2 linked regions of the Ovis aries genome follow. The protein of the gene in region 2 purifies or fractionates together with the protein of the main gene of each other region. This does not show direct contact. Links are inferred from orthologs where the notes say so. Each region holds a gene or a part of one and is shown on either strand. Other genes may lie near its edges. The genes, in order: SLC12A4 and RAB6B.

The links.
Region 1: the proteins of RAB6B (region 2) and SLC12A4 purify together in Homo sapiens (co-immunoprecipitation; 3 studies listed by BioGRID and IntAct, with this or other methods). This does not show direct contact. The link is inferred for Ovis aries from reciprocal best matches to the Homo sapiens genes RAB6B and SLC12A4.

Annotation. Positions count from the first base shown.
Region 1 is NC_056067.1:34,989,931-34,992,911, forward strand, and holds part of SLC12A4 (solute carrier family 12 member 4), read right to left. Parts: intron 1,589-2,981; coding exon 1,490-1,588; intron 1,335-1,489; coding exon 1,215-1,334; intron 1,014-1,214; coding exon 909-1,013; intron 656-908; coding exon 487-655; intron 197-486; coding exon 1-196. UniProt on the Homo sapiens protein: Mediates electroneutral potassium-chloride cotransport when activated by cell swelling. May contribute to cell volume homeostasis in single cells. May be involved in the regulation of basolateral Cl(-) exit in NaCl absorbing epithelia.
Region 2 is NC_056054.1:256,108,080-256,112,384, reverse strand, and holds the start of RAB6B (ras-related protein Rab-6B), read right to left. Parts: upstream 2,952-4,305; 5' UTR 2,552-2,951; coding exon 2,482-2,551; intron 1-2,481. UniProt on the Homo sapiens protein: The small GTPases Rab are key regulators of intracellular membrane trafficking, from the formation of transport vesicles to their fusion with membranes. Rabs cycle between active GTP-bound and inactive GDP-bound states.

The sequences.
Region 1 (2,981 bases), on a different chromosome or scaffold from region 2:
CAATAAAGGTCTTCCAGGCGCGTGGGTCCTCGCTCTGTCGCCAGCCGTAGGGCCAGCCCAGCACCACGGTGTTGTGCCTCATGCCACCCAGGCCACAAGACTGGATGAGGTGAGCCAGCCCCTCCCGCACCTTGCTGGCCACTACCACCTGGCAGAAGCCCTTCACCTTCTCAATCTCCATCATGTTCTTGATTGTCTGTAGGGAACATACCCGGGTCAGAAGGCAAGGCCATCCATGTCCCCTCTGCTGGGTTCCCTGCCCAGGCCCCAGGGTACAGAGCTGCTTGGTGGTGGGGGAGAAGATGGGGGCAAGCTGCCCACCCAGAGGCCATGCTTGCAAGATGGAACCTTCATACCCACCTGGCTCCCGCTCTCAGCTCACCTGGCTGGCCAGGACTGGTCCCCTCCCCTATGCACCAGCTACAGCCCAGACATCTCCAGTCTGGTTTAGGGTCCTCCTACCCCTGACTCCCGCCCCAGCAGTACCTGCTCAGCGGCCTGGGCCTCTCCGTAGCTCTCCAAGAAGCTGCCCTGGATGACAGAACCGACGATGGTCAGGCCCTTGCCAGCTTTAAGCTGGGAGGCGAAAGTGAGGAGCCGCGGGTACTTCACATGAAGGTCCTCATCTAGCTTCAGCAACACCAGTAGCTGAGGCCTGAGTGGCCGGATGGAGAGGCAGCCTGAGATCAGGGCCCGAGATCTGCAGGGAGCCCAGCTCCCTCCTCTCTTGGCTCCCAGGCCCCCTCAGGTAGCAGTGATCCAAGGGCCCGATAAGCAGGATGGTGCCCCTGGCAGCTCAGGACAGGGAACACGGACTAGGGAGGGAAGCCAGCACCTCGTGACTCTCCCCTCTCACAGGGTCGCCCCCTGAAAACCTCGACTGTCCCCGCCAGGCCCGGGTGACTCACCGCCAGTTCTTGGTGTGAGGAGGGCCCTCCTCTAGCCGCAACAAGGCATAGCGGGCAGCGCTCAGGGACAGGCCTCGGATCCCATCGCCCCATTCCTTCTCAGCCCTGCAGAAGCCCCCAAAGGCTGATGGGTAAACCCCTAGGACTTGTGTCCATGTGTATGTGGGATGGAAGGGACCAGGCCCAAGTCACAGCCCCGCAACCCCCGTGCCATGGTGGCTTAAAGAAGGATGGCTCAGCTTCCCACACCCAACTACAGCCCAGCCCAGCAGCCCTGAGCACCCGAGTGGGTGCTCCCACACTCACCCTTGGTACTCAATGTACTTGTAGATCATGCCGGCGATGAGCATGGCAACCAGGGCATAGTACCAGGAGGAGACAAACATCAAGGCCAGGCAGAGGCTCATGCCCAGGAAGGACAGCGCCCTGGGCCAGAGATGGGAAAAGGGCCAGAGTCAGGGAAGGACCTCCCAGTCTCCCAATAGAAACTGTTGCCCAGAAAGTTCAAACCCCATCCAGAATGGTTTCCCACATAACTCTCATGTCAGAGAACCTGGCTCAGGGGCCCAGCTGGCACGTACCAGTGATAGTACTTGAACCGAGGCCGCCAGTTGGGGGTCCTCAGGAGTGTCTGCACAGCACAGGCCAGGTTCACAAACAGGTAGCACATCAGGAAGAACCTGCGGCACAGGGAGCAGCTGGGACTGAGCGGCCCGCTTGGTAGCCAGGTGCCCGAAGTCCCGGACCCTCCCCAGCCTGGGCCTAGGTGAGGAGCCGAGACTGTCACAGCCCTGCCCGGCACAGTCAGGCAGGTCGTCTCGGCCTCACTTTGCCCACGCCCCGGGCCAGATGTGGATGGGACATTGTGGTGGTGCCTGCAGAGCCTGGTCTCAGAGGATGTTGAGACCACGAGGGGGTTGCGGACAGGGGGAACAGCTGTGGAAGAGGATGGTATAAAGGGAAGTTCAATGCCTGGATGCAGCTAGACAAAAGCCAGGCCTCTGGCCTGGGGGACCAGTTGGATGAGGGGCTGTCATGAGTGTGGGGAGAGGGCGTCCAAAGAGGGCCATTTAGAGTCACTGCATTAGAGACACTTGAGGGACACTTCAGTGGGTGTGGGAGACCAGGATGGAAGAGGCCTACTGCTTGAGCCCCCCAAGAAAGACAGGAAAGGCAGAGGGCTGAGGGGAGTGGCTGCCCACTTCTACCCTCAGCTGGTGGGTGAGGAAGGACAGACAAGGAGGCAGCAGGGCTGACGAGAGAGGGCAGGCCGGGGGCAGGGACTCTCACAGTAGGGGCATGCTCAGTCCCGTTAGGGCTACAGGAGAAGCAGCCTCAGCATCAAGGCTGACACATCCTGACATGGGTGTTAAGGGGCCACCGCCTGAGACAACTGCGGCAAGGGTAGTTTCAGGTGTAGGTGGAGCTGGGCGGAGGTGTGTTGGGGGAACAGGGGAGCACTGACTCCGGCAGGCCTGGCTGTGGCTGGGAGGCGCAGCTTCAGGGGGAAGGGAGCTCTGTCAGTCCTACCAGCCGAGTGGGGTGGTAAAGGGTGGCTCAGACACAATGGAACAAGCAAGAGGGCACTGGCTGTGGAGCAAGGCGTGTGAGGAGGGCACAGTGGCCCTGGCACTGGTGGAGGTGAGCAGAACGAGGACACTAACTGTCTCTGAGACCCCTGGAAACTGCTGCGTGTTTGCCACCTCCTGCAGGGCACTGGCAGGTTCAAATGCCCAGCTGACTCCAGAACTTTAAAAGCAAGCAACTTGAAAACAGGTGTATGGACAGTGGCGGCTCATCAAGGGGGCTGAGATTGCTGCTTGCCCGTCCCTGCTCTGGGTATCTCCCATAGAGGCACAAGGGACCTACTGGTCTCTTTAAAACATCTGAGTAAGCACTGGAAGGCAGAGGTTCAGAAGGTTGAGCTCTGCTAGGCAAACATCCCCCAACAGCCTAACCCGTCTGCCAGCTGCATCCTCAACCCTAGACAGGGTCACAGACGAGTTGCTGGGCAGAGCTCCCGGCTAGGGTGTGGCTGAGGGTGCGAGGAGACTTTCCCAGGGCCCTTGCCCT
Region 2 (4,305 bases):
GTAAAAGCGCTTGCAGGCAAGATGGAAGTCATGGTTGTGGTGGTAATTTTTCTGTTTCGTCAGGCTCAGGGATGCACATGTCCCCTGCATAACTCGGGGACCCCAAAGCTCTGTAAAATTGAAGGTAAATAACCCACTAATGACCTAATAAAGTGGGAGGAGTCTTCAGGGCCTTAGAGCTCCCTGCCAGAAAGAATCAATGTGGCTAATGGCAGTGCCTTTTCTCCTAATGACCATGTTCAAAGGGCTCAGAAACCATGATCCCAAACGACTAGCCTGGCATTCCCACCAGGTCACCCAACCCAGCCATAATCCTGGCCAGAGTTTGGTAACCACCACCTCCTAGATTAAAGATTCCCAATTCTTGGCTTTCCCAATTCAAGGTCACCTCATTTCCCAATGGCATGTTAGTGACCGGGAACAGGAGACACGAGTTTCAGTCCCAGAAGTGTTAGCAACTCACAATAGACCTCTGGGTCCACACCCTATCCTTATAAACATGCTGGGCTTCCCTTATAAACATGGGGGCTCACGCTCTGAGGGCTTCAGCTCTTGTTTCTGTGATTTTAGGTGCAAAGGTGGTTTGCAGAGCTCATCAGGGGCCTCAGCCCATCAGAGGTTCTGAGGGAGCCCAGAGTTTTCACTCAAATACACCAGATGCATTCTCCTCACCAAACCTCCTTCACTGAAGCATATTCAGACTTGGAATAAAACTGTGTTTACTGACAACCTCTCAGGGTCCAGCCCTTTGAGAGACACTGAGGAAACATGAAGGGGTAAGAAAACGACCCTCAGGCAACCATCTTACAGAGACAGAAACTAAGGCTCAGAAAGGCTTCGAAATCTCCTCAAGGGAACACAGCTAAGAATTCAACTCCCAGGGCTCTAGCACCGGTTGGATTAGCCCTGTAATGTGAAGACCAATCCCTCTACTCCCAAATCCCTTTAGGCACAAGAAAAAGTTAGTTTTGTGAAACTGGAATCTACTAAGATCAGAAACTCAAAAGTCCAGGACACAGGGCTGGCTGGCTGAGTTCATCTTGCTCAGAAATGCCCAGCTTGGCCCTAAAACCCATGTCAGAGCTTGGCCACCTTCTGACACCCTTCTCGGAGCCATCCCTGCATCCCAGCTAATGAGCAGCGGCAGGCAGGCGACTGTCATGTGACCTCCACAAGCAATATGTACACACATATCACAGCAGCACCTGGAGCTCACCAGGTCCTCCCAAGATTGTGTGTGTTGCGGCCCCTTGTACAGACAGGCACTAGACCAGGTGAACCGGACTGGTTTGTAGAGCTACAGCTGGTGGTCCTGCCTCCAGAGACAGCCTTCTCCCAGAGCAGGTCAGGGCCCAGCCTGTCTCCCCGCAGCCTCAGGTGAGAGGCCTCTGCAGGGATGCTCTGAGAACCACTCCTTCCTACAAGTGTCAGAGGCTCCATGCTCTTCAGGCTGGTCTTCCCTCCTCAGGACTAACCTGGCTTTCAGAGACGCTTTCCCCGGGGGAGCTACCAGACAGCAGGAAAGCCGTTTGTCTCCTCGTCTCCCTGGCCCCTGGCCCGCTGCCACGGTGGCCTCCCCTCCCCCAAGAAGGGCGGTGAGCTGGGAGGTGGGGGTTGGAAGAATCCGCCGAGAACGCTCTTGGGAGGGGTGCTGGGAAGCCAGGCAGGGCGTGTCGCCTGGTCCTTTCTCTGCCCAGCGCCGGGCTTCGCGGCTCTCGGTGCAAGGCGCCCCGGTTCCATCCCCCAAATCTGCCCTGCACTGGGGACCCCCTGCTGTCATCGCTCAGACCCCTGAGCCCGAAAGCGGCTAATACACAGCAGCGAAGGGCGACGGGTCTAGAACATTCGGTGCCCAGTCGGACGTAAGTCAGGGGAGGTGGGCGCCCTGTTCCCCGACGATCTGCACCTGCTCTTTTCAGAAGAGACAGATGTCGGTCTTCTCGCCGCGGCCGTCTGCCCCAGGGCCTGGACGTGTCTGCAATTACGGTTCCCGTCAGGGGCCCCAGGGAGCCCCTCCGGTGCCGCGGTTTGGGGAGCGGCCAGACGCCAGTGCCGTCTCGTTCTCTAAAGAGGTGCAATCGCCCTCCCTGCGACCCTCATCGGCGCCCCGCCACCTGCGCGGTCGCCCGCAGCCGGTGCCGCAGTGCGAGCGAGCCAGCGAGCCCGGAGCCTTCACGCCCGCGGCCGGCGCCGCCGAGCGAGCCGCCGCCCTCCGGTGTCCCCGGCGCGCCGCACCCCGAGCCCCCACCCCAGATCCCACCCTCGCCCCCACCTCTGGCCCCAGCGCCTCGTCGTCCCTTACGCCTGGAGCCTCCCCTGCCGGCCCCTCCGAGCCGGCCACGACCTCCCCATCCCCAAACCTCTTCTCTACCCGGGCACCGAGGGGCCTTTTCGAGCCGAGGTCGGGGTCCCAGTGGGGTGGATGATTTGGCGGCGGGGGTGGGCTCGACTCCAAACCCGGGGAATAAGCGGGGTACTTACCGCTCTGCTCCCCCAGGAAGACCAACTTGAATTTTCTCAGTGGGTTTCCAAAATCTCCCCCTGCGGACATGGTGCTGGCAGCTGGGGCTGGGAGAGGAGGAGGAGGAGAAGCGAAGGAGCAGGGAGGGGAGAGGAGGAGGGCGAGGGGAGGCGGCCGGCGGTGCGGGAGCCGGAGGGGGAAGGGCTGGCTGCGCGCGTCCCTGGCTCCCCAGCTGCGTCCCGGCCCCGGCCTGCGGCTGCGTGTCCGGTGGCGGAGGAGGAGGAGAAAGATAAGGAGGAGGAGGAGGAAGGATGGGGCTGGGCGGCCGCAGGCGGCGCTTGATGCGGCGCGCTCTGGACGCCCGAGGCGCGGCGCAGACTGCGAGGATCGGGCGGAGCGGGGCTCAGGCGCGCGGGGCGGAGGAGCGCTCTCCCGAGCCGCACCAGTCGGCCCCCCTCCCGCCTTGCTTCTCCGCCCGCGCCTGCGCTCTGCGCGCTCCCTAGCCTCTGATGTCATGCGGGGCCCGTGGCGCTGCGGGGCTGAGGGGCGTCAGTCCACCCACCCGGAGCCCGCACTCGGGCGAGAGAGGGTCGCTCAGCCGTTCCTTGAAGAGGCTACCGAATCGGACCCTCTCTCATTGCCCCACTGCGTCTGTCTTCCCCACTCCATCTCCCTTTTGAATGCAGAAAATGACGTGAAATTGTCAAGGGATATTTGTTAATTAAACCTAGATGTTACCCCTTCTTTCTACCCCTGCGACACTGATACACACAGCCCAGCCATCCGAGAGGGTGAAAATGAAAGAAGTCAGGGCGGGGGGCGGGGGGCGGGGAGCGGGGGGGAGGGTCGGTGAGCCAGGGTGTGGTGGACCGTGTGGGCGCAGACCGGCTCTACTGGCATCTTGTACGTGTGTCTGGCCCTCCCTCCTCTCTTCTCTCCAGATCCCTCCTCTTGGGCCCCTCTGTAGAGTCATAGGTGTCCCCCCCACCCACCCACAGACATGCCCAACTGGAGAGGAGCTCCGATAAAAGGAGCACCCTGCTTCAACCGCTCCTAAGCACCACTTTATCCTAAACCTAATGACCCGTGGGAGAGAAGAGGAACGAGGCCCCGAATGTCAGCTCCTCCATCTCCAGGATGGATCCCTGGATCCCTGGACCTTGGGATCTCTGGGCTGACACCACCACTCCTTGCCCTGGCAATTAGACGTATCTGGACAATGAGCTCCCAGAGGACAGGAGGGAGACCTCCCATTTGCCTTTACATTCACCTGACCTGTTAAGGCACACAGATAATTTGTGAGTGGGTGAGAACAAGGAGCAGGTGCCAGGCATTAGATGCTCTCCCAACCGGGTCCTAGCATTCTGGGTAACTGAGGTTTCACCAAGCTGCTTCTGCTGTGCTGCAGGCAGGTGGTCTGTTCTTTTAGGGCCGTTCAATGAATGTTCATTTGGGATTATACCCTAGATGTTAGGGAACAAGTTTGTGTGTGTGTGTGTGTGTGTGTTTCATTCAGAGAGAAAGGTGAGAAGCAACCTTCATCTCTGGAGTTTTCTAGGGGGCATTTGTTGCTCTTTTTGACTTACATAGCTGGCTTGGAATGTCTTCCTGTCTGACTCCCTGGTTTATTACTTAGAATCTTTCTCTCATTGCTTATTAAAAACTATAGGATGAGTTCCAGATCAGCAGTTGAGTCTCCACTGCTGAATCCCAAAGACTTAACTTTGAGCTTAGGAAATAATTGTTGAATGTTTGGGTGAATATCTAGAACCCAAGTCAGTACAACTGTTCCACTTATTGAAGAGACTGTGTTTTCTCCATTGTATATTTCCATACATATATAT